Pelodiscus sinensis: one gene and its partners. The protein of the gene in region 1 interacts with the protein of each later gene in a pairwise test. Links are inferred from orthologs where the notes say so. Each region holds a gene or a part of one and is shown in the gene's direction. Other genes may lie near its edges.

Evidence for each region.
Region 2: the proteins of CCDC33 (region 1) and LMO2 interact in a two-hybrid assay, tested with the Homo sapiens proteins (2 studies listed by BioGRID). The two-hybrid records come from large-scale screens. The link is inferred for Pelodiscus sinensis from reciprocal best matches to the Homo sapiens genes CCDC33 and LMO2.
Region 3: the proteins of CCDC33 (region 1) and ABLIM3 interact in a two-hybrid assay, tested with the Homo sapiens proteins (2 studies listed by BioGRID and IntAct). The two-hybrid records come from large-scale screens. The link is inferred for Pelodiscus sinensis from reciprocal best matches to the Homo sapiens genes CCDC33 and ABLIM3.
Region 4: the proteins of CCDC33 (region 1) and ABCF3 interact in a two-hybrid assay, tested with the Homo sapiens proteins (2 studies listed by BioGRID and IntAct). The two-hybrid records come from large-scale screens. The link is inferred for Pelodiscus sinensis from reciprocal best matches to the Homo sapiens genes CCDC33 and ABCF3.

Annotation. Positions count from the first base shown.
Region 1 is NC_134724.1:39,167,500-39,174,369, forward strand, and holds the start of CCDC33 (coiled-coil domain-containing protein 33), read left to right. Parts: upstream 1-3,853; 5' UTR 3,854-4,202; coding exon 4,203-4,220; intron 4,221-5,923; coding exon 5,924-6,087; intron 6,088-6,870.
Region 2 is NC_134714.1:86,905,779-86,912,681, forward strand, and holds the start of LMO2 (rhombotin-2), read left to right. Parts: upstream 1-3,883; 5' UTR 3,884-4,128; intron 4,129-4,339; 5' UTR 4,340-4,354; coding exon 4,355-4,518; intron 4,519-6,903. UniProt on the Homo sapiens protein: Acts with TAL1/SCL to regulate red blood cell development. Also acts with LDB1 to maintain erythroid precursors in an immature state.
Region 3 is NC_134727.1:16,803,002-16,810,202, reverse strand, and holds the start of ABLIM3 (actin-binding LIM protein 3), read left to right. Parts: upstream 1-4,181; 5' UTR 4,182-4,338; intron 4,339-4,362; exon of another isoform or gene 4,363-4,749; 5' UTR 4,750-4,847; coding exon 4,848-4,860; intron 4,861-7,201. UniProt on the Homo sapiens protein: May act as scaffold protein. May stimulate ABRA activity and ABRA-dependent SRF transcriptional activity.
Region 4 is NC_134720.1:48,890,415-48,898,377, reverse strand, and holds the start of ABCF3 (ATP-binding cassette sub-family F member 3), read left to right. Parts: upstream 1-4,943; 5' UTR 4,944-5,027; coding exon 5,028-5,100; intron 5,101-6,838; coding exon 6,839-6,986; intron 6,987-7,272; coding exon 7,273-7,352; intron 7,353-7,804; coding exon 7,805-7,857; intron 7,858-7,963. Other genes in the region: matrix metalloproteinase-23-like, read left to right, coding at 166-205, 379-505, 1,333-1,567.

The DNA of each region.
Region 1 (6,870 bases):
CTCTGGGCAGTGCTGGGGGTGGAGGGAAGACCTGTCACGCTCTGGGCAGTGCTGGGGGTGGAGGGAAGGCCTGTCACGCTCTGGGCAGCGCTGGGGGTGGAGGGAAGGCCTGTCATGCTCTGGGCAGCGCTGGGGGTGGAGGGAAGGCCTGTCACGCTCTGGGCAGCACTGGGGGTCGAGGGAAGGTGTACCGCGGTCTGGGGAGCACTGGGGATTGGGGGAAAGAGTGTCACTCTCTGGGTAGCTGTCATAATCAGTAGTGCTGACCAGCACCTGGTCACTAAGGGGTTAACTCAAGTATCTAGCCAAGGTGTTGGGCAGTCAGCCAATAACAATGCAGGTAGGAATTTCAAAGTGGAGAAGAGGGGTTTTTCTCTCTCATCCTTGTTTGAGATTCAGAGAAGTTTCTCCCAGGTATTAAGGGAGATGCTTCTCTCTCCAAGAACGGACTTCTTAAAATATATAAGTAGGGACAAGTTTTAGATAGTCCATCAGGGTTTATTGTTTTCCTTGTTTGGGGGTTTGGAAATAATGTCTGAGCTTGCTCATTGTTTTTTCCCCTCTTTTGTAGCTAAGTCTTACAGCCCAGAGGTTTTTCCCTGAGGATCTGTATCAAATGGTGGCTTTTTCCATCTAGCCAATTTACTATGCTTGCAACTGTAGTTTTGTTTTGATAATAAAAGATTGTTTCTTTTTTCTAATTAACCGGTATTGGTTGATTCGTGTGTCCTAGGAGGTCTATCGGTGGGTATCTACATGCCTCTGATTGAGGGGTCAGCTACCAGAGACTGCAGCTTCTTTCTCTCTCTCCTTTTTCAAGCGCTTTGGGGAAAAAAGGGCTTGGGGTACCCCTGGGGTTGGTTTCAAGTGTCAACCCCTGGTTTTTTATTTATTTTGGGGGTTCAAAAGCACTCGATGGTGGCAGTGGATCCCCCAAAATCTGGGTATTAGGATTTTGTAGAAGTTTTTTGTACCGAAGCCTGTAGATGCAAGCGTTTGGAGCACTCTTGCGGCCCCCCCAACTTTTGCATTTGTTGTGCCAGAGTGGGGAACAGCCTTGACAGTAGCTCTGAGGATTGAGGGAAGACATGCCACCGTCTGCGCAGTGCTGAGGGTGGAGGGAAGGCAAGCCGAGGTCTGCACAGTGCTAAGGGTTGAGGGAAGGCCTGCCACAGTGTGGACTGCACTGGTTACATAGGCCTCTGTGGGCAGTGCTCAGAGCTTGCTGCCTCCACCCAAGGCCCTGGCCCTTCCACCCAAGGCCCTGCCCTGTCTGGGAACAGGAGCTAGGCCTCCCTCACCTTGCCCAGGGACTCAGAGGCAGTCGGCACCACTGTTGATCAGTACCCTTTGAGCCAAACGATTTAGTCAGGTTTCTATCCACATGAAGTGTTATCTGATTAAAATGTGGCCATTAGGATCATGGCTGCAACAAGTAGGGCACGTGGCCTGAAAGGTTCAACAGTCCCAGGCCACCTGACCCAGCTTCAGCCTAGAGGCAGGGGAGACAAGGAGGTAAATGGTAATTAAGGCCCTTCAGTGCTAGTTAGGCTACAGTTGTGAAATGCCAGCCTTGGTGTTAGGAATGAGAGGCAATGCTGGTTAGATGTGTTTGCTGTGCTTATAGATACTAACTGTGTGTGTGTGTGTGGGGGGGGGGGGCAACTGTTTTGGGTCAGGGGCCACTGACCCACTTGCTTAAGGCACACACACCAGAGGCTGGAGGAGAGAGCAAAGGGAAAGCTGAGGTGAAGACTGAGCTTGTCAACTGATTAAGGAATTGGCAGCAGAATAGGCTGGATCAACCATGTGGGAGCTTAATTGCCAGAGCTACACCAGCCTGTCCAATCCCAGTGAGCTGCTGGGATGGGGGAATTTTAAGAGCAAATGTCATGATACCTGATCTATATATATATATAGTGGTCCAATGTCTGAGAGTCTGTAACTCTGAAATGCTGGCTGTTCCCTCTGGGCGGCCTGTGCTCATGGGGAGTGCGGGGCCCAAACGGCCATCTGGGTTCCGCGGTCCCCCGAGTGAGAGGCAGGAAGGGAAGGGGGAGGAGAAGAGAAAGAGAGAGATGGAGAGAGAGGCAGGAGGCAGAGGAGAGCTGAGAGAGAGAGAGGGGGAGGCAGTAGGAGGAGAGAGAGAGAGAGAGAGACAGAGCGAGAGACTGGAAGCTCAGGAGAGAAGACCGACGTGGAGGAGAGACCTGAAAATTCTGTCATATGACGGGCTAATTGGCTAGTAGTTAATAAGACTGGTGTGTGTGTATGTGTATTAGCATTTGTGTCTGTAGATGTGTGTGCATGTTTGTGTACGTGTTTGTGTACACGTGTATTTATATATGTGTGTGTGTATATTGGTACCCGTTGTGTGTTTGTGTATATGTGGGTGTATTTGGGCAGTTTGGGTCTGTCACACATCTCCTGCCTTCTGTTGTGAGACGCAGGGCTGACTAGCAGAGTTGAGATTCATTGCAGACCCTGGGGCCAGGGAGGAGGCAGCTGCATGTGCCAAAAGGGGTGGGATGGGGGCAGCCAGCCCTCAGTGCTGCCCGGAACATGTTTCCCCTCCCAGCTCTCAGCCGTTTGGAGCGACGCTTCGGCACTCGAGCAGCAGTTCAGGGGGGCTGTAAGCCCTGGCCCCTTTGAATTGCCAGGCCTTGGAACAAGGGCCCCCTTTGTCGTCCCCCCTCGCTGTTGGAGGTTGTCAGATGGCTCCAACAAAAATCCCGGAAAAGCGTGACATGACATCCCAATCTACATCCCATCTTATTTAGAAAACACCAGACAGTTCTGCAGTCTCCTTTCTATTTCTCAGTTTGTTTCCTGTATGGAAAGCTCAAACACTGGACTGTCCGGTTCAACACCGGACACCTGGCAGCCCTAGTTGGTGGGCCTGGAGCTGACGTTTTGGAACCTTTTGCTAATTGCCGTAACAAGTGCAAGTAGCTGGAGAGACTGATTGCTGCTGGGTGCTGTTCTCTCTTCGCTGTCAGCGGGAGCCTGTCTGTCGTGCCTCATGTTAGAAGCAGGCGCCAAGCGGCGCTGCTCATAGGGTTGTAACCATAGGCGTGTGCAGCACATTTCATTAGGGTGTGCACCCAAAGAATTTTGACCCCCATTAGCCACACCCCTGACTCCCATTAGCCAGACCTCTGGAGGTAACACTCTCGGGGCAAGATGGGCTCATGACCAGATGTAAAAGGTGTCACGTGACCCACCATCTTCCTACCAATAGGGATTAGTTTGGCTCCCACCAAACCCCCCTCATGCAACTATTCTGCAGTTGCATTACCCCAATTTGGGTCACATTAACTCGGAGGCGGAGAGGCTGGAGGAAGTGTCCCCTCTAAGAGTTTCCTCCCATGAGCAGAATGAATTTTGTGTTTTGCACCAGTACTGAGGTCATGTGGCTTGTTTGCATGTGCCACCGTGGCACCCAGGTTATTAATAAATATCATATGAACCTCGACCTTTTCCCTCTGCTGCCATGTCTCCCCCCTTTGCTCCATCAGCTCCCCTGGTGCCTGCTGCCCCCCAACCCCTCATCCTCCTCTGCTGTTCTGACTCCTGCCCTTCTCACTGCCCTCAGCCCTCTAGGACCTGCCCCCCTCCACCATACTGACCCAGTATGGCCGTTCTTATGTTCTTATCTTCTTAGTGTCACCGAGCCAGGTTTGAAGCAGGTGGGGTGTTGTGTAGACAGGCCCTGCCTGACGGCCTGTGTGTTGTGAGGGCAACCAAGCCCGAGCCCTGCCCGGGCCCTTTCACTGTGCTGTCACACAACTCAGAACCCTCACCGGCCAATCGCCACGGGGCACCTGCGCTGCTCGTGGAGGCAGTAACCAGGGTGCCCACCGGAGGTCTGAGAGCATTTCTTCCCGAGGCCTGAGCAGAGGCAGCGTGTGTGCTCAAGGCACAAGAGTACAGGCCCATTGCCATGGGGATGTGCAGGGGGGTCGCCACCCCAGCCTGTTCCCTCCTCAGCCAGACTCTCAGCACTGAGCTGAGCGGGGTGCTTTTTGTTTAGGCCTTGCACTTCCAGCCTCCCCTGGTAGGGGTAGAGCTCCTTTCTCCTGTGCTGCCTCTGGCTGGCTGCCTGCTCCTCACCCCTCTCACCAGCTCCCTGCACAGAGGGAGCAGTGGGTTCCAGGGGCACAGGAGGGGCCTAGAGCGCTGCCCTCTGGCTGAAGTCAAACATGGGAAAAGCTCCCAAGGTAGGGAGGCGCCTGCCCATCAGGCATCAACATTCATCCATATTGATAATTCCTTGTGGGGGAGAGAGGGCTGGTTACTTCCTAAGTTTTGTGCCTTTACTGGGCCCAAATTGTGTGTGCTTCAACCTTCTGTGCATCTCCAGAGATGCAGGCGCTGGTTAATCTCCCCGACTCCTGGTGCGAGCGTGCTGCCTGTGTATGCCTACACTGCCCCCACTTCATTATTGCCCTGTCCCCCTTCCCTCCCTGCTTCTCTCTCCCACCCAGTCTCCTGCTCTCAATTCATCTGCCAGCCCATATGTTCCCTCTTTCAACCTCACCGTCTTCTATCCATTCTCTACCCTTTCTCCTCCATTCCCTACCTTTTCTGGGTATGTCTACACTACCCCCCTAGTTTGAACTAGGGGGGTAATGTATGCATACCGAACTTGCTAATGAAGCCCGGGATTTGAATTTCCCGGGCTTCATTAGCATAAAGCCGGCGCCGCCATTTTTAAAAGCCGGCTAGTGCGAACCCCATGCCGCGCGGCTACACACGGCACGGACTAGATAGTTCGGATTAGGCTTCCTAATCCGAACTATCTGTACACCTCAGTCTCCTTCCTGCACTCCAAACTTCCCACCCGCTCATGTTCTACCTTCTAACTCCACATTCCTTTGCATTCATCTCCGCCTCCCTCCTGCTCTCTGCTGATTAGCTCCCTGGTTGGCAGTTTCAGCAGAGAAGATGACAGGGCCGTACAAACTTTGATTCCTCCTGCCTGGAGGAGTCTACTCTGCTGGCTTGGCTGAGGCACATTGGCAGGGCATTGTTGGGGAAGCTGTGGGCTCTCACAGCTCCTTTTCCTGGGTTGTGAACTCCTCTTCCTCTGCATGTATTACTCCTGGAGGTAGAGTCCTGCAAATCTGCACATATCTGCTTTGTATCCATGGGTACAGGCGACTCTGCACTTATGACCTACTTGGTTTCTGAAGAACTGCCGTAAGTGAAGCTGTCATAAGTTGAATCCTTATTTCCCATAGGCGCAATCTTATAAATGGCAGTTCCATTCCTGGAAACCCATTTCATACCCTAAAAATGCCAAAGTTGACTACAGAAATGGAGGAAAATGAAACAAAATAGTTCAAATAATTCACAAAAATAACTAAAAAGTGAAGACCGGTGTGGCGCAGTTCAAGCAGCTGATGCAGACGGCGAGTCTGACTGACCGTGTACGTTTCCTGTTTTGGGATGACACGTGGAGTCTGCGTCATACGCCGTCGTAAATGAGAGCTGTAGAAGTAAATTGGGAGGTTTTAGGAGCTATCTTACATGGAAAGAAATGGCTGTAAATGCGGTGGGTCGTCAGTCGGGGGTCACCTGTATCTGCATCCACGGCTCATTTTGCAGTTACAAATGCGGACGTGGATACAAATTTTGTATGCATGCAGCGCTCTGCCCATGGGAGTTACATGTGAATAAGGACAGAAGAGGAGACATCTATGAATTTACTTTTGCTCTGGGACTCAGCCAGTGGACACATTTACATCCATTGGAAAGACGCCTCTCTCCAAGTAGATGCAAAATATGCAAGCTCAGCTTGTTTGCAGAGGGTACACACCTGAGCCTTTAGAACAGAGCTGGAGATGTGGATTGGTGGGAGGCAGAAGATCTGCATCAGGGAAGAACAAATGCTGAAGTTCCTTCTGCTTGTGCCTGGCAGGTAGTGGAGTCACCCTGTGGAGCGGATGAGGCTGCACGAACTTCAGAAACCAATCACTGGCACCTGGCGCACACTGGGAAGGAATCCATCTCCGTCACTCTGCATGGTGCCACCAACCTGCCAGCCACCCAGAAGGGCACTGTGCCATGGCCCTATGTCACTGTGTGAGTACTGGGGAAGTTTGCTTCTGGGCTTTGGTTAGAAGATCTGCTCTTGTAGCAAGGAGATCAGGCAAGGAGTTGAGACTGTGGTGCAGGCTATAAGCCTGGTCTCTGCTCATCTGTTTAGTTTTCATCTGCACAGTAATAGATTGCACTGGCAAGGTATCACAGGAGGATACATCTCTCCGACCTGAATGCACAGCGTGAGAAATCAGAGACACTGAGAATCTTGTGGGAGAGGAGCGTAACGTGCACAGAGATTTACCCCTGTTGTCAGAAAAAAATGATCTATGCAGCTCTCCGAGTGGAATGTCTATTTCTAACTTCCTTTTGTTCAAACCCTGCCTGTCACACCGGTGATTTGTGCTATGGAACGCCATATATATTTTATAGCAGCAATGTGAGGGGAGAGAGTGAAACACACTAACCCCTTGCAGCGGGGAACTAGCATATGATCAGACTGAAGGTTGCCGCATTCACACTCAGGTGGTCAGAGCTGCCACGTACCCAGGGGGTAGCCCCAGATGCAGTTTTGCTCAGTTGATGCAGCTGCCCAGACTTTGCATAATGAAGCAAATGAGGCGAAGTGTGGAATACTGCAGCGCATCATTTGCATAATTAACGAGGCTCTGTTTTTGCGCAAGAGGCTTTCACGCAAGAGCTGTTCTTCCTGAAAAAAGGGGAAGAACGGCTCTTGCGCAAAAGCCTCTCGCGCAAAAACGGAGCCTAGTTAATTATGCAAATGAGGTGCAGCGATAGTCCATGCTTTGCCTCATTTGCATATTT
Region 2 (6,903 bases), on another chromosome or scaffold:
ACATGGAGCCTAATGTTACGTTGTGTCTTTGTAGTGCAGCCTATTTAAGGTACCACAATGACTTTAATCCTTGTGCAGTATTTCCTGATTGCTGTTTGTTTTATTTAGATGGAGTTCAAGCACTCTCTCACCAGGCACAGTGAAACCAACATCTGTTATCTTACACATCAGAGAAGTGATCTGCTTTTTCCTCTGTACACAGTTCTCTCAACCCTACCTCCTGCTGGCACCTTACTTCCATGGAGAATAAGGAGATTGAGAGAGCTTCTTCTTTTGGTGGTCATCATTTTTTTCTTTAGACTTGCAGAGAGCTAGTATCTGTAATAATCATGTAGCACCTGGCTTCAGCACTTTCACAAGTTGTCTACTTAAGCAGCTAAGCATATCATCTTCTTTAGGCATTTTGCCCAGGATCTGAAAGCCTGAGTCAAACTCTGTACTCGAAATGCATATGTAGCCTGATTCAACTTCTTTGCCTATTAACCAGATGCTTTGAACCTTGTTCTGCCATTTCCAGGTGGGAGAGATTCCTGCAAGGTGCTAAAGTTTCCAGTTCCGTTAAAATTAGGGACCTAAAGGTCATTGAGTCCAGTCCCCTGCCTTCACAGCAGGACTAAGTACCATCCCTGATGAATTTTTACCCCAAATGGCCTCCACAAGGACTGAACTCACAATGCTGGGTTTAGCAGGCCAATGCTCAAACCACTGAGCTATCCATCCTCCAACAAATACTCTTGCCTCCTCCAGCAAAATCCATAAGCACATGCTTAACTTGAAGCACATTAGGTGCGGTCATTTACTTCAGTGAGCCTCCTTTGCTTGGAAGCCAGCTCCAGGCGTGGTCTGAGGAGGTCTGACCAAGATCAGTGGCCTCTTAGCAGTGCTAAACTAAAAGGAGGCTACTTTGCAGGCAGCGCCGTGGCTGAAGACAAACTGGCAGGAAGAAGTGTCTTGCACGGATGGGAATGCCCCCGACTGCAGGATTTGTCTGGTTGGAATTTCCATAAGCAGTGCTTCAGAGCAATCCCATCTAGAACATTTTACGTCACAGATGCAGTGATAAATTTATTTTCACAACCAATCCATGGTTTATTTTTAAAAAAGCTATGAAGTTATACAACCTGCTAATGGGTAAAAAGTACCAAATGCAAGACACAGGAAGGTGCAAATGCACTCTAGTATGTAGAGAATAATAAAATACAGTAGGCTAAATTGCATTCTCAGTTACTCCTATACATCCCCACTGACTGGCATTTTATCAAGGTCCTAGCAATTGCATAAAGTTAACTGAGGGCAGAATTTGGACTAATATGTTTATTGTAAAATATTAAATTTCTTTCAGTTTCACCCAGTCCAGCCACGCCTAAGCGCATGCTTCCATTTAAGTACATGGAGTGTTTCATTGACTACTTTGAGCCTTTGCTGTTTGGCAGCCAGCATGATTATTTGTGAGACCTAGTTTGAATATATGGAAAGGAACAGGGCCTATACATATTAACCCACTCAAAATTGCCAAAAAAGACATTAGTCCACTGTGTATGACACACGAACATATTTCTATATTACAGCCTTCATTATGGCACTTGGTTTAAAATGGAGATGCATATTTTGATCTTATTTGTATATGTCATAACGTAGATTTTACTTCTACAAAACACATGAATGTACACAGGTATTTTACTATAAATTGAATTTTTAATCTTTTGTTTTAATATGTAATCAAATAAATTGTTGAAATCTCCAATACATGAGAACAGAGCCTACAGCAGGACCAATAATAATATGTGGGGCCACATGCAGGGGAACCAACTACACATGCCTCATGCTGGCCCTAAATTAACCTGGAATTACACTGAGGGAGGTAAGCATTTTACAGATGGGGAAACTAAGGCATAGTTAGTTAAAAGACATACTCATAGGCTACGTCTACACTGGCATGATTGGCTACTGGCTACTGCAGCCTGGCCAGAGGTGGTCTAACTTGAGGTCAGTAGCCGGGCTCCATTCCTGGCAGGATGGAAGCCTTGGTATTTTGCTTTTTATTCCTTTTTAAATAAATGTTTGAAGCCCTTATATTTATCCTTGGTTCATCTTAAAATTCAGTTACTAATCCTTCAAGCCATCTTAATATAGTCCCCAACAGTTTAATTATTCTGTCTTTCTGTAGCTCAAGTATTCTGTCTTTCTAGAAGGTTTACTTTTTTGCTCCTGATCATAGAGTAAATATATCTGACATGAAATATTTATCACACCATTCTATCCTGTGGATGAAAGCTACGTGCTTTTACCTTTAGTAAAAAATGTTGGCTTATGAACATATCATACTGTATAATACATTAAAATATATTGGACACAGTAAATTTAAACAAAAAGTATGGGTTTTTCCTACTGATCCCGTGGTGGCTTCAAAGGTTTGGTAGGGCCTGATCCAATCCCCATGGAAGTCAACAGGAATTTTTCAGCTGACTTCACTGGATTTTGGACCAAACCCTTAATATTTCTCTGGTGTTATTGCTCCAGTGACCAAAGAACTGGATTGGGGGTTAATAAAATGAGACTGGGGTAACAAAAACAGACTAAATATATTCCTGAAATGGAAATAAAAATATAAGTGAATTATTTCTCTCATTCTTCACTCAGACTTTATTTCTGATCTTTTTACATCACAATTACTGGAACAGATGGTCCATCTAATCCCGTGCCCTGCCTCCAGCAGTGGCCAGTACCTAATACTTCAGAGGAAGGCAACATGCTGTAACTGCAGTAGCAGGTTTAATTCTACTTCGTGTAAATCACTCTGCTCCAGGATGCACTATAGAGAGGATCAACCTACCTTGTGAGAGAGCAAAGGATGAGGACTGACAAATGGCAGGGGAGAGAGCTGACAGGTTCACACAGGCCTTTCCCAGCTCTAGCGTTTATGTGATTCATTACTGATCAATAACCTCCTGCTCCAGAGCTTTCCTCGCTAATTAACAGCAAATAGCAATGAGGTATAAATGTGTTATATTGCCTATCGTGAACTAGACGAGGATCAATTTTGCTGATGCCCATGACTATCAAACTGTAGAAGAAAAGAAATAGAGAGAGGGACACAGCTTAGCTGGACCTAGCTGGCTCAGATAGCTAAGTAGATAACAGCAGTGATAGGCTAGAATGGTGTTTGTTTTTGGATCCCAAAGCACTGATCAGAGAGAGACACCATTATCCTATTGTGCTCTTGGGAATATTTGTGGCTAGGATGCCAGTCAGGGTGTGTCTGCACAGGGAAGTTATTTTGGAATAACAACCGTTACTCCGAAATAACTATGTGAGCATCTACACAGCCATTCCGTTATTTCAAAATAATTTCAAAATAACAGATGGCTTATTCTGACTTCTGTAATCCTCATTCTACGAAGAATAACGCCTATTCCGAAATACTTATTTCGAAATAAGGCGTGTGTAGACGCTCCACTTCTGCTATTTCGAAATAGCCCCTCACCGGGGCCATTCTAAGTTATTCCTCCTTGGGCTCTAAATTGAGATAGCACCTCTATATTAGGGAAGCCTGCCACTGACTAATTTTGAGGCTTCTGTACTGTGTAGACGTGCTATTTCGAAATAAGCTATTTCAGAACAACTATTCCGAAATAGCTTATTCTGAAATAACTGTGCAGTATAGACGTAGCCTAACAATGGTCCTGGGTACTTGATACACGCCCAGAAGACCATTCTCAGGCTGCATGTCTGCGTGCTCAGCTCACTGCAAAACTGTAACATAATCTTAAATTGCACTGGGCTGCAAAAATGCAACGTCAGCTCCCAGCACTGGCTCCGTGGCGAGCGCCCGCCTGGCCCTTTAAGAAGCCAACTCAGTCGTGATGCTGCTGTTTGTATTGCTAAATCCCCAGGAGTCCAGTTCAGAAACGGGCAGCTGTCTCTTTAAGTGTGATTTCCTTCTATTGTATTTGAATCGTGATCAGGAAAAAGGAAATGAAACCAGAGACTCGGGGCTGAGCTAAATAATAATAATGATGCTGCTGATCTCTGCATCTGCGGCAGAGGCACCCTCTCTCAGGGTAGGGCATGAGCAGAGCTGTCCAGCCAGAAAGCATACGCCGAGCAATTAGCACAGGGGACTCCAGGGTAAGCAGCAGTGACAGCTGAAAGGGTCTATTTCCATCCGCGATCGGAACAGCAGCTGCAGCTGGGGCTGCCCTGCCACGCAGCAAACAGGAGGAGCATTGCGAGGATGGGAGGTTAGATCCTAAGGGTCAGCCTTGCGGAGACACAGCCCGGCGGCAGCAGCAGCAGCAGGAGCAGCAGCCCGTATTTCTTTCTCTCTTTGGTGTTACAGGAGGAAATCCTGTGAATGTCATTGGGGGGCGGAGGGGAAACTCAGCTGGTGAGAAAGCATCAGGAGCAGACAGCCTTTGTAAGGGGCAGAGGGGGCAGATCCTACCACAGACACACTACAAAGGAGAAAGCCCTGCCAATGTCATCAGCCATCGAGAGGAAAAGCCTCGATCCTTCCGAGTAAGTGGCCTTTTTTCTTTCCTAGCCCCCTCTGCCTTTTGATGGCTCTTGAGCTTCTCCAACACACGGGCTGGGAAAGGACTTTATGAGCTTCCAGAGTCCTTCATTGTGATCATTGTTGTTGCTATTTTGGGTAAGTGCCAGTTCTAGGAAGGCGCTTTGGAGATCTTCTTCTGGGGGAAGGTGGTTTAGACATATGCCAGGGCTGCTTTTACCTTCGAAATAATATTCCTGCGTGCAATAAAGTCCTAAGCACAACCACCGCTTGCCCCCTTCCATACACTGCTGCCCTTGTAATATTACAGCCTGGGTGGATTTGGTAGAGAGTGTCACTCTGGTGCATGCAAAGGGGAGGGTTGGTAGATTTCATTGAGTTGCTGCTGGAGGAGGCAAGCTGTGTAGATATCAGTGTGCTACTCATGTGGATGGCAGCACGAGCCCAGAGACATCAGTTCCCCATTTTGAGTTGAAACCAGATTATAGATTCATCAGATTTGTCAGGTTTTGTGAAATACCTGCCAGGATAAACCTCTCGTTTGAAAAAAATCTAACAATCCCCTTCACACTCCCCCTCTGTTCTTGAGATGCAGTGATGCTGATGAGAGTGATTCAGAGATATGGGGTGCATAATACTTTCCAAAGCTTAACTTGTTTTCAGGCTCTGCTCCCTGTTTAATCTGCCCAACTAGCTGACTAGACCAAAAGGTCAAAGCTGTTATCTGATGGTGTACAACTTCCACATTTTCATACTACAAGTCAGTTTGAAACTTTCAAGAGATTATAATGATGGTGTGGGGGAGGGAGATCACAAATGCATAAAGAATTGATACACAGAAGGTGTGGGAGAAGAAATTTGTTCTTACTTACTACCTTTGTGGAAGAGGTTACATAAATTCAATAACTGATTGTAGCATTACGATCTGGCTCTTTCAGTAGATTTCCTGCAGCCATCCGTTTGTACTTGAATGCTGGCATTTAGTTGCAAGAGGAGTGTGAACTCAGCTACACAATGCACCGTGTCATTCCACTGAATTCCTGGGCTCTGCGTCTCAAGAACAGCATTAGGTGCACTACACTTGTCTGTGTCTCAGTGGCACTGTGATAATACAATAAGGAAAAACACTTGTAAAATCCTGGTTTTCAATGTAAAACTTAAATTTTATTTCCGCCTATAAACATAATTAATTTTTAATTTGTTTCCTTTAAGTCATTAAAATGTTGTCTTCTGAAGCCCTCATCTAAGGCATGTAAAACATAACTAACTCATGATCCAAGGCAGTTAATACGTCATATCAGACATTTTGCATTTGTTACCATTTTTCTCATTTCCCATTGATTTTAAGAAATTGTAATTTAACTTCTAGGTAATTTTTTTTAAAGATTTCAACTACACAGTAGTCGCAATATTTATTTATTTGCTTTATGTTCTAGTGAATAACAGCTGGCTATGAAATCCAAGCACATAAAAAAGCTAATGCATGAAACCGAAATTCTGTTCAAAATAAACATAGAATCATAGGTTCCAGCAGGGTCGGAAGGTAGCTCAAGACCGCATCTGCCACAGTGTGAGACTATGCCTGACTTAGGCTTTGAAATAACCAACCCATCGATCCTGATCGGTCATGAAAAAGGACAATTTAACAATATAAAATATGGGTGCATGTATGCATCTATATGAACATCTGCACTCACAAAAGAAGGGATTCATTAATTGTGAAAAAGCTGCTTCCTTATTTCCTTGTATCCTCAAAATATTCTTATGGACTTGTAGTATTTGCTGCAGATAAACACAGTGTTTTGTTCTATGGATATAATGCCCTGTTTATATTATTTGGCTTATGTGTTATTTAATGCATTGATGTTTTCAAGCCAGCCTCACGGAAACAGCATGCATTCCTTTATAGTTATATATGTAATTGGTTGGTACTGCGAGTAGCAGTGCTTGCAAAGCATAGAGCATAGAGGTGTATGCTTTGAAAATCTAGGGTCTGATCATCTGTATGTAGAAACTCCCACTGACTTACTGACAAGACTGTGTGTAGAGAGGTCTGGTAGGCGTTGGATCGCAAGTCATAAGAATGTTAGGACACAGCAATATAAACCGTGAAGTGAATATGGAAGTAAGAGTAGATGCTGTTTTAAGATTGAAGTCAGAGGGAGATTTTGCCTAAGTAAAGCTGCACTCATTAGGACAGAAGTTTTGGAGCACTGTTTTCAGAGACATATGAAAGTAACTTTTGACAAGGAAATTGTTTTTCCAGTAAGTAAAGGTGGTAGAAAAATGTTAGTTTCTATGGCCTGTTGGAACGCTAAACAGCCAGATTTCTATCAGTGTAGTTACAGTCTGTCCTCACCAGTCCAGTTGTGGTATGTAATAAAAACAAA
Region 3 (7,201 bases), on another chromosome or scaffold:
AGACTGTTCCTATTCCACCCTCCTTTTTCCCCTCCTCACTCTACATTTGATACAGGCTGCCAGTTTCCACTGTCCTGTACACCTTGTACAGGTTGCAGGAGTTATACAGAAGGGCAGGCTTCTGGTACTTGATATGGACTGGCTACCAAGCTGCCTTCCCAGAGATACACAGCAGATATGCTCACTATCATTGCACTGCCAGTAATGGCTGTCACAAGGTCAAGGTTGTTACACATAGGGTACCACCTACTGGTTAAATCTATAACATCAGGGCTGTGTCTAGACTGCATCCCTTTTCCGTAAAAGGGATGCAAATTAGACACATCGCAATTGCAAAATAAACGGGGATTTAAATCCCCCCGCTTCATTTGCATAAACATGGCTGCCACTTTTTTCCGGCTCGGGGCTTCGCCAGAAAAAAGCGCCAGTCTAGACGGGGATCTTTTGGAAAATAAAGCCTTTTCCGAAAGATCCCTTATTCCTTTTTTTAAGAGGAATAAGGAATCTTTTGGAAAAGGCTTTATTTTCCGAAAGATCCCCGTCTAGACTGGCGCTTTTTTCTGGCAAAGCCCCGAGCCGGAAAAAAGTGGCAGCCATGTTTATGCAAATGAAGCGGGGGGGATTTAAATCCCCGCTTCATTTGCAATTGTGATGTGTCTAATTTGCATCCCTTTTATGGAAAAGGGATGCAGTCTAGACACAGCCCATATGTTTTATTAGTCTCCTTTTCCTAGTCCCACAGGGTATGTCTACACCAGTGATTCCCAACCTTTTTCCCATGGAGGAACCCCTAAAATAATTTTTCATATCCCAAGAAACCCCTACCTATGAAAATGTTTGCTTGGCCAAAAAATTGACAGTGGGGGAGTGCAATTCAATTACTGCTAAATTATTGTCAACAAAATATTTGTAAAGAGCTGTTTATATATATATATATATATATATATATATATATATATAATGTCAGCTTACATTGTAAGAAAAAAAATTATTTATTCCACAATTTCTCGCGGAACCCCTGACGATGGTCTGTGGAACCCCAAGGTTCTGCAGAACCCTGGTTGGGAAACACTGATCTACACTATGGGACAAAGTCAAATTAAGATATGAAACTTCAGATATGTTAATTGTGTAGCTGAAGTCGAAGTAGCTTTACTCGGCTTTTGGCACTGTCTATGTTGCAGGAAGTTGAAGGGAGATCACTGTCCCTTCGACTTCCCTTACTCCTCGTGAAAGCAGAGTTACCGGCAGAGAGCACAGTGCCCCTCTCACTTCAAATCAGCTGTTTTAACTATTCTGCTAATTTGAACCCTGGAAGATGGACAGAAGCAGCTTCGATCTTCCTCTGTAGCGTAGGCGTACCCATTGGCTACATCTACACAACTTTCCTCTTCCACAAAATCCTATGCAAATGAAGCAGGGATTAGCATATTGCTGCACTTCATTTGTGTAATTAATTAGGAGCCATTTTTTTGCAAGATGTTTTTGCGCAAAAAGGGACCATCTACACACCTCCTTTTTGTGCAAAAACTCCTTCTTGCGCAAGAGCTGTTCTTCCTGAAAAAATGAGGAAGAACAGCTCTTGCACAAGAGGGTTTTTTTTGAAAAAATGGCCCCTAATTAATCATGCAAATGAAGCACAGCAATATGCTAATCCATGCTTCATTTGCATAAGCTTTTGCGGAAGAGGGAAGCTGTGTAGACGTAGCCATTGAGAACACAAGAGAGAGTCTTCCCTATCTAACACAACAGCCTCCAGCTGGTGGGAAGAACTGCAGATAAAGTCCTGTTCAGCCCCTCAGTCCCTGGGTGGAGCATGCTCAGTACAGATGGAACATGCATATGCCAATGGTGATTTTCAGAGGCACATCACTCAGACAAATCAGGGTGGATTTTCATAAGGCAGCAAAACTCACTTTTCTGGTCCAATGGTGGCTTCCTTGCCACATTTCAAGCAATGTATTTTTTTCTAACCTCACTCTAATAAACAAGAGAGTCTTCCGTAAGAAGATATCTTCCGGAGTAGCTTATTTCAAAATTGAGTGTCCACACTACAGGCAAGCCTCAAAATTAGTCCGAGGCAGGCTCCCCTAATATGGATGTGCTATTTCAATTTAGAGCCCCAGGAGGTACTGGGGAGGAATAACTTAGAATGGCCCTGGTAAGGAGCTATTTTGATATCGCAACAGTGGAGCATCCACACACACCCTCTTGCAAAATACTGGTTTTTTGGAAGAGGCCTTATTCCTCATGGATTGAGGTTTACCAACATCAGAAAAAGCCCTTCGTTATTTCAATTTTCTTTCAAAATAACACAATTGGACACTAGTATTGTTTTTCCAGAATAACAGTCATTATTCTGGAATAATGGTGCAGTGTAGACACACCCTCAGTTCCAGTGTCCTGAATCCCTCTCCCTCCATGGAAATGAGCAGACTGTTCCTATGATACACAAATGAAATAGACACATAGATGATTTAGCCAGTTGGTTTGCACTACAACCAAAGGTGCACACGTAATTCACACAACCCGCTACACATCACCAGAAACATCTGCTTCCTCAAATCAAACAGAAAAATGACTCTGTCAATATGGCAGTTCAGCAGCTGGGAAAGACGCAAAACTTGTTATGCTGCATAAACCCCCCTTTCATTGGACATGAGATCATGGGTTGCTTCTTTGAACCTTGTGTGAGCTACTCAGAGCATCCTCAGGTGGGACTGCCACAGAACAAGTCCCAGTTCATAAACTGTATCTGACTGAATTGCAGCTCCGGTGGGTGACACTTAACTCTGGAAGGCACAGAGTTACTAGCAAAATAAAGAATGAATGGCTCTTTGACATTCTTTCCAGAATCCTGATCTGATGCCTGCAAAGACAGCCTCTGGCTGTCCCAGGGAAGCCCCAGAGAAGGGCATTATTTCCAACTGCACAGACAGGTGGGATACACACATTCTTCCAGTTCCTGTACAGCCCGCTTCCAAATCATTGCCTGATACACCCATGTCAGCAGACCTCCTCCCCATTTCCAAATGTGGGACACAGTGTGGGGAAAAGGTCCACAGCTAAAGGCCAAATCCTGAGGCCCTTGATCCAGCAAACCTTCCACTGGAGCCAGAGGGACCAGGGCACTTGAAAACATTGAGTGAGAATCTTACCAAAAGAGGACAGCCTTCTCTCTAGTATAAAACAGTATTTTCTATGGCCCCAGTTCTCTGAGCAACATTTATAATACCAGGGAGTTTTTTAGGGGATGAATTAGATCTATCGTTTAAAAATGGGCCGCTTTTCCGCAAAATGTTGCCACCTGTCTACACTGGCCGTGAGTACTTGCACAAGAACACTGCCGTTCTAATGTATAAAATCAGTGCTTCTTGCGCAAATACTCTGACGCTCCCGCTCACGGATAAGCCCTCTTGCGCAACTGTTCTTGCGCAAGGGGCCAGTGTAGACAGGCAACATCAATTTCTTGCGCAAGAAAGCCCGATGTTTAAAATGGCCATTGGAGACTTCTTGTGCAAGAGAGCGTCTACACTGGCACGGATGCTCTTGCGCAAAAGCACATCTTTTGTGCAAAGGCACATGCCAGTGTAGACGTTCTCTTACTCAAATATTCTAATGCAAAAACTCTTGTGTTAAAGAGTGTTTGCGCAAAATCTTGCCAATATAGACGTAGCCTCTATGTTTTACAATTATAAAGCTTTAACTTTTTGAAATTGTCTCCTGTTATTAAATAATCCATACCTGACCTAGTCATAACTTCCTGCAACTGTGAAAAATTAAATAAATCCAAATAAAAAATACCTAAAGCCCATCATTTTGCACAACAGTGACAGTTTAAATCAATCAAAATGGAAAAAATACTTAAACACCGATATTTTCCATGGAAATTGTAAACAAATAGAAATCCCCCTTTGCCAAGCCTGCTGAAGAAGAAACTGATGATCTTACAATCAGCCCGCCCTGTAAATACCGGGGGACAGTGATGACAGGGAAAGGTGAGAGTTGGAGAACCCATCGGATGAGTGAATTCGGGAGGAATTTGAAAATTGCAAATGGATACACCTGCTTGCATGCTTGCCTTCACTTTGCAAACTCGATGCATGGCCTGCACCAAGCAGCGGCGCATTTCGGCCAGCAGAGGGCAGCCTGATCAGCTCCTTTGCCAACAGCAGGCTCAAGCCGAGCAAACCCTGCCCAGTGGAGCTAATTTCCTCTCTCTCTCGCCTTCCCTTTTCATCACAATTTTCAGTCTCCAGCCCAGCCCAGCCCTGCCGGGCTGAACTCCTCCACCTGCACTTGAAAGAGGCTTCTGCTGACAAACTTGCCTGAGAGGAGGTGAGCGCCAGGGGGGGTTCTCCTCGGATAGATTCAGGGGCGAGGGGGAGCAGCTTCATCCGATAAGCTCTCTGCGGGCCCCCTCCCCTTGCTGTGGTCCACACCCCCCTTGAGCTATAAGAAGAGCGGGCGCTGGAATTGCTCTGCATTGCATGACAGCACCCTCCATAGAACTCGGCTCTGGGCAAGCCGGAGTCAGTCGTCTGCGTGCTGCTTCACGCCGTGCAGCGACTGCTGGGAGGAGAGGGAGCCAGAGGAAAACCCTACCCTGCTTCTGTAGCTCCTCTTTATTATCTGCCTGCTAAAAATTAAGAGCAAAGGCAGGAGCCAGGGGAGGTAATAGCGTGGGGCCCAGGAGTCCCCTTGGCATGAATTAGAAGGGAATCACACGGAAACATTTTTCCTAGGAAGAAAAGGGGGGAAACCTACTCCTAGGAAGAAAGAAAGAGGTTTGGAAAAGCAGCTTTGCCCCCTTTGTTGAATGAGAAGGACAGAGCAGGACCAGCAGCATGAGCACTAGCAGTAAGTACACCTCCTTCTTCCTTTGCTATGGGAACGGGGCTTATTTTGTATGGGGTCTGGCTGAGTCGAACAGGCAGGAAAATGTCACATCAGGGTGGACGATCCCAGGGGATTGGATTTTTTTCCCACTTCTTGTCATGTAGCAAAAAATGGTTTTCTGAGGTGTTTTTGTTTCTGAAGATGACTAATGTGCTTAAGCCCCACAGACTTTTGGGACTGTAGTTCATAGAATGTATTGTCTACATGCAACATGGTCTGAAAGGTCTGTATAATCACACACACACACAGATGTGCTTGGACCACCGCCTAAGTATTAATAGACATGGGTCTGCTATCACTGAGAGGTGGGCAGGGTTGGCTCAGAATGAAGGAAGATCTAGGAATACTGTCCTTTTCCTTATTCAGGTTAGTGGGTATCTGTATGTGTGTGAGACAGGCACATGCTAGCTATGTATGAATTGCTAAAGGAGCAGAGCTAGCTAATGTACTGCATGAGATCAGTAAAGGCACATACTGCCAATCTGGATAGCTCCCTATTTTGAGACTTGGATTTCAGAGTCTTGAGGGAATAGTTGGTGTTTGCAAGTTGTTATCCATTTCTCTCTCTCTCTCTCTCTCTTTTTTTATTATTATTATTACTGTTATTGTCTAGCTTGTTAGCAGAACTCTGGCTCATTCCCTTAAGAATGCACTCAAGCCAGGCAGCACCAAAAGCAATCAATACAAAATACCATTGGAGGATTTGTCTCCTCTGCTAACCAGCTAGGGCTGGTCTCCCCTCAGATTTGACTTTTTTAGCTCTAAAGGTTATGTGCATGGAGAACTCCCACTGACAGAGCACCAGCTGCCCAATGATTCTTGAGCTCTATCACAGTCCTTTGCCTGCCAGTCCCGAGTGTCTCAATACCAGAGGGTGGAGTAGCTCCAAGGTAGAGTGCGAGGAAAAATTCCTTGGCAAGTTCCAGCTGACAGAACAGGTGATCCCAGATTTATTGGACTGTGTCATGGACAAGTAAACTTTCCAGGTGCTCTCCATGGGAGCCACACCTGAAACATGGGCTGCTTATTGGGTTGGGGGGGGGAAGAGATGTTCACAGAGGAGACAATAGGGATCAAATCCTTCCTCAGCCACTGGGTGGATGCAGACTAACAAAAGGCACCCACCCTCTGTGTCTTGCTAGGTGATAAACTCCAGAGCTGGTGAATAAATGGCCTGGAGGGAGGGGATTGTACTACTTTGCTTGCTGGATTTCAGGGATTAGGCCGATCATCTGAGAACACAAAGGGGCTGGATTCAAGCTGGAGAGACTGGGAAGGGATTTTGCCCAGGAGAGAATGTTGACGAATGCAAAACCATTCCTCCTGGTTATTTGCTTCCAGCTTTTAGCCCCCAGCTCAGGTGCTGACAATCCCTGCTTGTGGAATCTGCATTTCATAAAGATCCAATTGCTCTGCCAAGCGGGCGGGCCAGTCAAAGCCAAAAAGCAGAAATAGCCCCTCCTCGACTGGTGAGAGAAATGTGCTGTAGAAGAGGCAGCATGATGAAATGATTAGAGCACGGAATAGGAGTCAGGAGACCAGTGAGTATTCCTGATTATGCCATTGACCTGCCATATGACCTTGGACATGTCCCCTTGTATGTCTCCATTTCCCATTTGAGGATGACACTGGGATAATGATGCTCTTTGTAAAGTGCTTGGTGATCATTGATTGAAAGGGGCAATATGCTGGTGGTCTTATATGGCTGCTTGTGTGATTCTAATTATTATGGTTAATGCAAGTTTGGAAATGTTAGTTGTTGCTATCCTCACTAAAGAGTTCTGAGCCCCAGAACTGGGCACAAAAGGAACTTGACATGCCTGTCTGTTTAGTGCATCTATTGCCATACTGTGGCTAGGGATGCCAACGAGTAGTCGACTAGATGATTAACCGATAAGCCTAAGGTTATCAGTTAATCTTGTCTACTACTTGCATTTCCCCCCCACTTGCTGCCTCTGTATCAGAGGCAGCAAGCGGGGGGGGAGGGGCGGAGGGGTGGAGCAGGAGCTGGTGCTGGGGGGAGCCGTCTTAAAAGCTGGTTTCCCCCCCCCCCCAGCACTGGTTCCATGGTGCTGCCTGCCCCCATCTCCCTCACTACTGCAGCAGTAGTGAATTGGAGGAATCGGAGAGGCTGCCATAAGGCAGCCTCTGTCATTAGTGGGCCTGCCCACCATGATTAGAGGCTGTTTCACAGAAGCAGCCCCGTCAACGGCGGGGGGGGAGGGGTGAGGGGATGGTCTGAGCTCCACATGGACAGATGCTGCTCTGCATCCTGTGGAGCAGCCTCTGTCTGTGAAGCTCG
Region 4 (7,963 bases), on another chromosome or scaffold:
TTCCAAATTCCTCGGCTGCTTCTGCACCAAAGGCAAGTCCCGTGGGAGGAAGTGGCTATTCTGCAATGCCCATCTCCGAGCGTTGTCCCTGCAGGCTGCGTGGATGAGAAGCAGCAGTGTGAGCCTTGGGCCCGGCAGGGGTTCTGCACGCGCCGGTGCGCCTTCATGAAGAGGCATTGCCCCCAAATCTGCAACTCCTGCTCCGGTAAGAGAACTCCTCCCCTGCTGGTGCTGTGGGCTACAGAAACCAGCTCCCCCCTGCAAAGCAAACGCCACCTAGCACCTCCCATGCCCCTCCCTCCTTTATTAGGCTGCTGCAGCATGCAGAAGGGAGCCATGGCCGCTTGGCTTGGCATCACTGCTCTGTGTGTCTTTCAGAGTTCCCTGCTGCCTCCCCCTCTGTACGAGTGCAGCCCCCCCACATTCACACCAAGTACCTCTCCAAAGGCAGAGCCATAACCTTCCGCTGTGGGCTGAACACCTCCAGGACACACCTGCAAATCAGGTGAGCTACTATCCAGCTGGGAGCTCTCCGGGATGCAGAGCATTGCTGCATCTATGGACACCCCCCTCCCCAGCACTCACTAAGCCAGGTCTCCCTAGCTGAACTCTGCAGTAATCTCTTTGCCTGCTGCCTTCCGAGGGAGATGGCGCTCGTGTCTGTGCAGATGCTGCCAGCTGTGGAGGCCAGGAAGCAGGGAGGCTACTGCTTTGGAAAGGCAAAGTTGGTGTGGGGGGGTCAATGGATGTGCAGACTTGAGCACCCCTCCAATAAGGAGCAACCACGGGCCCTGATCCCGACCACACCCAAGTGAAACAAACTGCTCCGCTGTGTTCTGTGAATAAAAGTCCTGGTCTCTGACTACAGGCTGAACCTCTGTGGTCCGGGACTCTCCCTGGTCCAGCAACACCTGTGGTCTGGCTGGGCCAGAGAGCCCCAGCCGTAGAGGTTGCCAGTGGCCTGGGGGCAGTGGAGCTCTGGTAGCAGGCGGGGTGCAGTGCACTGGCCAGGGCCAGGAGGGGAGCCCTAGCAGAGGTCAAGGCTGATCTCCCCTGGTCTGGCAAAATCCCTTGTTCAGGACAGCTCAGGTCCCAAGGATGCCAGACCAGCAACGTCCAACCTGTAGCAGGTTCAGCAGCGTGATGATGGGAAGAGAGAAATGGCCGGATCTTGACTGTGGCTGGGAGTGAGTTGGGCGGAGGGAAGGAGACTGCTAGCAAGCCAGGAGCTGAAGGAAAGGCCTTGGCACTCACTGGCTGGCATGGGGGTCACTGGTGCTAGCTGACAGCAGCTGCCCGGGTCTCACGGTCCTGCCCTCCTCTCTCTTGCAGCTGGTACAAAGATGGGGTGCTCCTTTCGCGCTCTGTTCCCGGCTTGGAGCTGCTGCCGAGCCAGGCCCTGCGTGTTCATGCTGCCGTGTTCAGCGAAGGGCAGTATACCTGCCTGGTCCGCCGTGCCAGCAGGGTCCTCCGTGCCAACTCTTGGCAGCTAAAGCTCAAGGCCAGGGGTTCTTCCCCACACAAACAGCCAGGCCAACCAGATGTGCAGGGAATTGCACGGGCCTGATCCACAGAGCAAGGGAGAGCTGGGTAACGGTGGATGTGAGGACAGCATCCTCCTTGCTCATCACTTGGCATCTCCCCTACCTCTTCCTCACTCCCTCCCCCTCAAAGCAGGGCAGCCCAAACAGCAGAGGGGTCAATGCCAGGAGCGCTGCCTGCTCCTTTCCTTGGCCCACTCCTCGGGCTGGCAGAGCTGCTCTGTATTCCTAGCCCAGGGCAGCAATCTCCTCCTGGGGGAGAGGTGAGGGCGCGGCGGCTGCCTGCTCTTAACAGGTGATGCTTACCAGTTAAGGTTAACCAGAGGGGTGGGAGCAGCTCCCCACCTGCTGCAGGTGGTGGTGGGGGTCTCACTTTGGATAGAGCCTGCTTGAGCCAGAGCAGCTTCTGCTTGCGGTGGCCCCGGGTACCTCAAAGGCATGGGTTGCTCAGGTTGGGACACCTGCCTGTGAGGTGCCCTGGCCCAGGGTGGGCAGTGGGGACTGCTGCAGCTGAACTGGAGCGGTCTCCCCTGCCTTTTAATTGGTTAACAATATATTTAACTGACTAATGAATTAAATGGGATTTTACATCCCTATTCCTCACCACCTTCTCCATGCCTGTTGGTTTCATAAATGATTGTGAAATGCCTAGGACTTACTGAAAGAAATAAGGTACCTTAGGCTATGTCTAGACTATACCTCTTTCAAAATAAACTTTTCCGGAAGAGATCTTCAGAAAAAACTTCTGAAAGAGAGCGTCTACACAGCAAAAGCTTCAGAGGGGTAGCTGAGTTAGTCTGTAACAGGAAAAACTTAAACATCAAATAGTCTAGTAGCACCTTAAAGACTAACAAAACATGTAGATGGTATCATGAGCTTTTGTGGCCAAAAACCCACTTCATCTTTTGTAGATTTTGCCCATGAAAGGTCATGATACCATGTACATGTTTTGTTAGTCTTTAAGGTGCTACTAGACTATTTGATGTTTGTTTTACATAGCAAAAGCACATCAAAAAAAGCCATCTGCTTTTTTGAAAGATAGCATCCGTTCAATATGGATGCTATCTCGCATTTAAGCTGTGATTACTATGGACGGAGTGGCCACTATGGCGCCTGTGTTTTTTCCTCTTCTTTCAAAAGAGCTCCCTCTTCCCTGTCCACACAGGCCTTTTTCTGAAAGAACTCTTTTGGAAAAAGTCTTCTTCCTTGTAGAAAGAGATTTACCAATGTAGGAAAAGCCCCTCTGTTCTTTTGATTTTTTTCCCCAAAAGAATGTGATTGCAGTGTGGATCTAAGGGAAGGTTTAAAAAAAACCAACAAAAACAACAAAAAACCACCAGCCATTTTTCTGAAAAAAACAAACAATCCTGTGCAGGGTGGACATACCATTAGACTCTTTCACAGTTATTTTTCTGCCTGCCTTTCCTGGCCCCTTTGACCCTGTTCAGATACCAGCTCCCAGCCATGCAGTCTCCCACGGAGGAGTCAACTCAGTGCCCATAGCATGGGGCTGCAGTATGACCCCAGGCCTGATTTGCAACAGCAAGGGCTGCTCCTTCCCTCACACCACGGCAGCTGCTTGCCAGAGAGACAAAGCAGCCCCTACGGTGGTGTTTCTCATACTGGGGGAGGAGGGAGGGCTTGAGGCTGTCTTGGGGGAGTGTGGTATGGCCACACTTGAGTGGGTACTGCTGGTTGGGCAGGTGCTTCTGGCTGGGCACCCAGCTTGCAAGGCAGCGCCCGGCCAGCAGCAAGGGGGGGGCATGGTACGGGGCAGGCCCATAGCACCGAGGGCCCCAGCAGCAAGGGGGGAGGGCATGGTACGGGGCAGGCCCATAGCACCGAGGGCCCCAGCAGCAAGGGGGGGGCATGGTACGGGGCAGGCCCATAGCACCGAGGGCCCCAGCAGCAAGGGGGAGGGCATGGTACGGGGCAGGCCCATAGCACCGAGGGCCCCAGCAGCAAGGGGGAGGGCATGGTACGGGGCAGGCCCATAGCACCGAGGGTCCCAGCAGCAAGGGGGGGGCATGGTACGGGGCAGGCCCATAGCACCGAGGGTCCCAGCAGCAAGGGGGGAGGGCATGGTACGGGGCAGGCCCATAGCACCGAGGGCCCCAGCAGCAAGGGGGAGGGCATGGTACGGGGCAGGCCTATAGCACCGAGGGCCCCAACAGCAAGGGGGAGGGCATGGTATGGGGCAGGCCATAGCACTGAAGGCTCCAGCAGGAAGGGGGGGGCATGGTGTGGGGCAGGCCCATAGCACTGAAGGCCCCAGCAGGAAGGGGGGCATGGTGTGGGGCAGGCCCATAGCACCGAGAGTCCCAGCAGCAAGGGGGGGCATGGTATGGGGCAGGCCATAGCACTGAAGGCCCCAGCAGGAAGGGGGGGGGCATGGTGTGGGGCAGGCCCATAGCACCGAGGGTCCCAGCAGCAAGGCGGGGGTATGGTGTGGGGCAGGCCCATAGCACCGAGGGTCCCAGCAGCAAGGGGGGGTATGGTGTGGGGCAGGCCCATAGCACCGAGGGTCCCAGCAGCAAGGGGGGGTATGGTGTGGGGCAGGCCCATAGCACCGAGGGTCCCAGCAGCAAGGGGGGGTATGGTGTGGGGCAGGCCCATAGCACCGAGGGTCCCAGCAGCAAGGGGGGGTATGGTGTGGGGCAGGCCCATAGCACCGAGGGTCCCAGCAGCAAGGGGGGGTATGGTGTGGGGCAGGCCCATAGCACCGAGGGTCCCAGCAGCAAGGGGGGGGGGCATGGTGTGGGGCAGGCCCATAGCACCGAGGGTCCCAGCAGCAAGGGGGGGGGTATGGTGTGGGGCAGGCCCATAGCACCGAGGGTCCCAGCAGCAAGGGGGGGGGTATGGTGTGGGGCAGGCCCATAGCACCGAGGGTCCCAGCAGCAAGGGGGGGGGGCATGGTGTGGGGCAGGCCATAGCACTGAAGGCCCCAGCAGCAAGGGGGGGGGCATGGTGTGGGGCAGGCCCATAGCACCGAGGGCCCCAGCAAAGGAAGTCAGAGCCCCTGAGTGGCTCCAAGTCACTTATGTCGGGGGATGCTTGAAATCCCAGCTCCGCAATAGCAAGGGGCGGAGCTCACTGGGCAACCACGCCCTGGCCCCGCCCCCCGGCAACCACGCCCTGGCCCCCGCCCCCCGGCAACCACGCCCTGGCTCCACCCCCCCCCCCGCCGACCTCTGTGCCAGCCCTCCCCTGGACCCCGCCCCAATCCCGCTTCACGAACTGCGCACGCGCCTCCCTTGCCCTGGCGGGAACTTGGAGGACGGCGCGCCCGGGGACGAGGCGCATGCGCGGGGCACCCGTTCCCGCCGTCCCTCGCGCTGGGCCGGCCCCGGACTCCATGTCCCAGCCGCCTGCGCGCGGCGGGCTTTTTTTTTTTTCCTTTTCCCGGCGTGCCCCGCGCTCCCCCCCCCTTTCCCCGGACTGCGTGGCCCGGCGGCGGTAGCGAGGCTGGTGCCGGGCTGTGCGGCCATGGCCTCGTGCGCCGAGATCCTGCGCAGCGAGTTCCCCGAGCTGGACGGGGAGCTGTTCGCCTACGTGACCGGTGAGGGGCGGGGGGAGCCCGAGGGGCGGGGCCTGGGGCGGCGGGGGCGGGGCTGCCCGGGCCGGGGTTTCCCGCCTCTCCCCGGGGCGCCCCGCCGCTCTGCCTCCCCTCAGCACGGCGCGCCCCCGGGGCTGGCGCGCGCTCGCAGGCTGCCTGCCCGATGGGGCGCCCGGGCGTGTCGCCTGCCTGCCTCGCGTGGGAGCGAACCCCCTTCCTGCGCGAGAGCCAGGCGGGGCCTGTCACCGACGGGGGGCTGGGCACGAAGGGGCCCCGTTCCCACCCCTTCTGCGAGAAGCCTCAGTCCACGTGCAGAGGTGCCCCTTCCCCCCCCCCCCCAAATCCCCTGGCCTTGGAAGACGTTCAGAAAGGGGCCGCAGAAATGATGAGCTGCTGCCCCGTGACCGGGACTTGTCAGCGTGGGAAAGAGATGGATGACTCGGGGGGCGATAGCCTAGAAGTCTGTGACATCACGGCTGCTGTGGAAGAAGTGACTAGAGAAGAGTTAGTTGCTCCTTCCCATAACGCAAGAACGAGGGGTCAACAACTGGGCGTCCTAGGTTGAACACAAAAGGCAGTACTACTTCACAAAACTCCTTCCCATAACGCAAGACCGAGGGGTCAACAACTGGGCGTCCTAGGTTGGGCACAAAAGGCAGTACTACTTCACAAATCTCCTTCCCATAACGCAAGAACGAGGGGTCAACAACTGGGCGTCCCAGGTTGGACACAAAAGGCAGTACTACTTCACAAAACTCCTTCCCATAACGCAAGAACGAAGGGTCAACAACTGGGCGTCCTAGGTTGGACACAAAAGGCAGTACTACTACACAAATCTCCTTCCCATAACGCAAGAACGAGGGGTCAACAACTGGGCGTCCTAGGTTGAACACAAAAGGCAGTACTACTTCACAAAACTCCTTCCCATAACGCAAGAACGAAGGGTCAACAACTGGGCGTCCTAGGTTGAACACAAAAGGCAGTACTACTACACAAATCTCCTTCCCATAACGCAAGAACGAGGGGTCAACAACTGGGCGTCCTAGGTTGAACACAAAAGGCAGTACTACTTCACAAAAGGCAGTCAACCTGTGCAATGCTTTGCCAAAGGAAGAACTAGATAAAGTAATAAGGCTAGGTCCATCAGGGATGGTGTCCCTAGCCTCTGTCAGGGCTGGGAATGGGCCATGTCTTGATTCCCTGTTCTGTTTAGTCACTCGGCCCTCTGTCAGAAGACAGGGCACTGGGTTCGATGGACCTTGGGTCTGACTCAGTATGGCCATGCTTGTTGAGAAATGAATGGAGCTATACCTATCTCCTAGGACTGGAAGGGACCTTGAAAGGTCATCGAGTCCAGTCCTCTGCTTTCACAGCAGGACCAAGTACTATCCCTGACACTTGCTCTAGATCCCTAAATGGCCTCCTCAAGGATTGAGTTCACAGCACTGGCTTTAGCAGGCCAATGCTCAAACCACTGAGCTATCCCTCCCGTAGGCAAGAATATGGGCCAAGGTCACTTACACATGGATGCCTGTGGAATAGTCTGGAATTGAACCCATAGCTCTCTTACCTACTTTCTTCAATTGGCACTGGAGGTCAGCCCCCTCCCTTAAATCCTAGAATGATCCTTGTTGTTCAGTGGGATTGTGAGGATGGTGGAGGTGTGGGGAGACACTGGCTGTTATTTTGGTTGGAATTCTTTGGGCCTGTTGCTCAGTGGCTTGTCTCTCTTCTCTTGCAGGGATCCTGCACAGTGGCAGTGAAGATTTTGAGTCTGTGGATGATCTCTTTGAAGCAGTGGGAGAGCTCTTGCAGGAAGTGTCCAGAGACTCGAAAGATGATGAGGACATCCGGGATATCTGCCAGAGGATGTTCAACACCCTCCACCTGTAAGTACTCTGGGGCCTCTATGCAAAGACCTGTAAACGGGGCTGAGTCCAATGTGGTGAGAGACGAGGAGAGCTCTGGGTCTTGTCATGTGCATTTTACTTTAGAGCTGTGCTGTAAAGTGTCAGCATTAGGAGTGTACAGAATGAGGATGTCAAACAGGGTGACACAGAATAACTTAGGGCAGCATCTGAGACTCATTTGGGGTGGTGTGTGGCAGATGGGAATGTTGCAGGAATGGGAGTGTATCGTGGTACCTTTACTCCTTGATTCTTCTGTGTGTTACAGAGATGACGAGAACTCTCAGGGGTGCAGCAAGGTGCTGCTAGATGCGCCAATTCAACTTTCCAAGGTTACAGACAGCTATGGTGAGTAATAAATACTGAGCAGCCCTTGCTCCTAGGGAATCCTCCTTTGATGCCTGAGCTGCTCAGCTGACTGAACAGTCTCCCATCTTATCTGCGGCTATCAATTGTAGAACCATATTGGTGGGAAGTTTATAAATTATGAGGTTGATGGATTGGAATGGCACTCCCTCCCTGGAATGCAGAGGAGCTGATTCTGCATACTGGTGGTCTTTCAGACAGTGAGCTCTAATGGCAAGAACAGGGCTAGGAATAAAGACTTAAATTCTCTTTTCAGCGCTGCCTCTCCCTTGCCATGTGATCTTGGGTTAGTCATTTCACCTCTGTCCAATTGTAAAACAGGTTATTAACTTTCCTGCCAGGGAGTGGGTAGATTTGTATTAAGCACTGAGCTTGCCTGGCAGAAGGTGCTGGAGAGAGGGGCCGAGTGTGACTGCCTTTCTTGTTCATTGCAGATTCTGGCTTGGACCTCTTTCCAAAGCTCTTGCTGAAGAGAGGCCAGACCTCAGTAAGTGGGAAATGCTGTTACCAGCTCATGCTCTTACTAGCCTGTTTGCTGCATTGCTCAAGATGCTAAGAATGCCCTTGCCTTCCCATTTCTTACACATTCACCC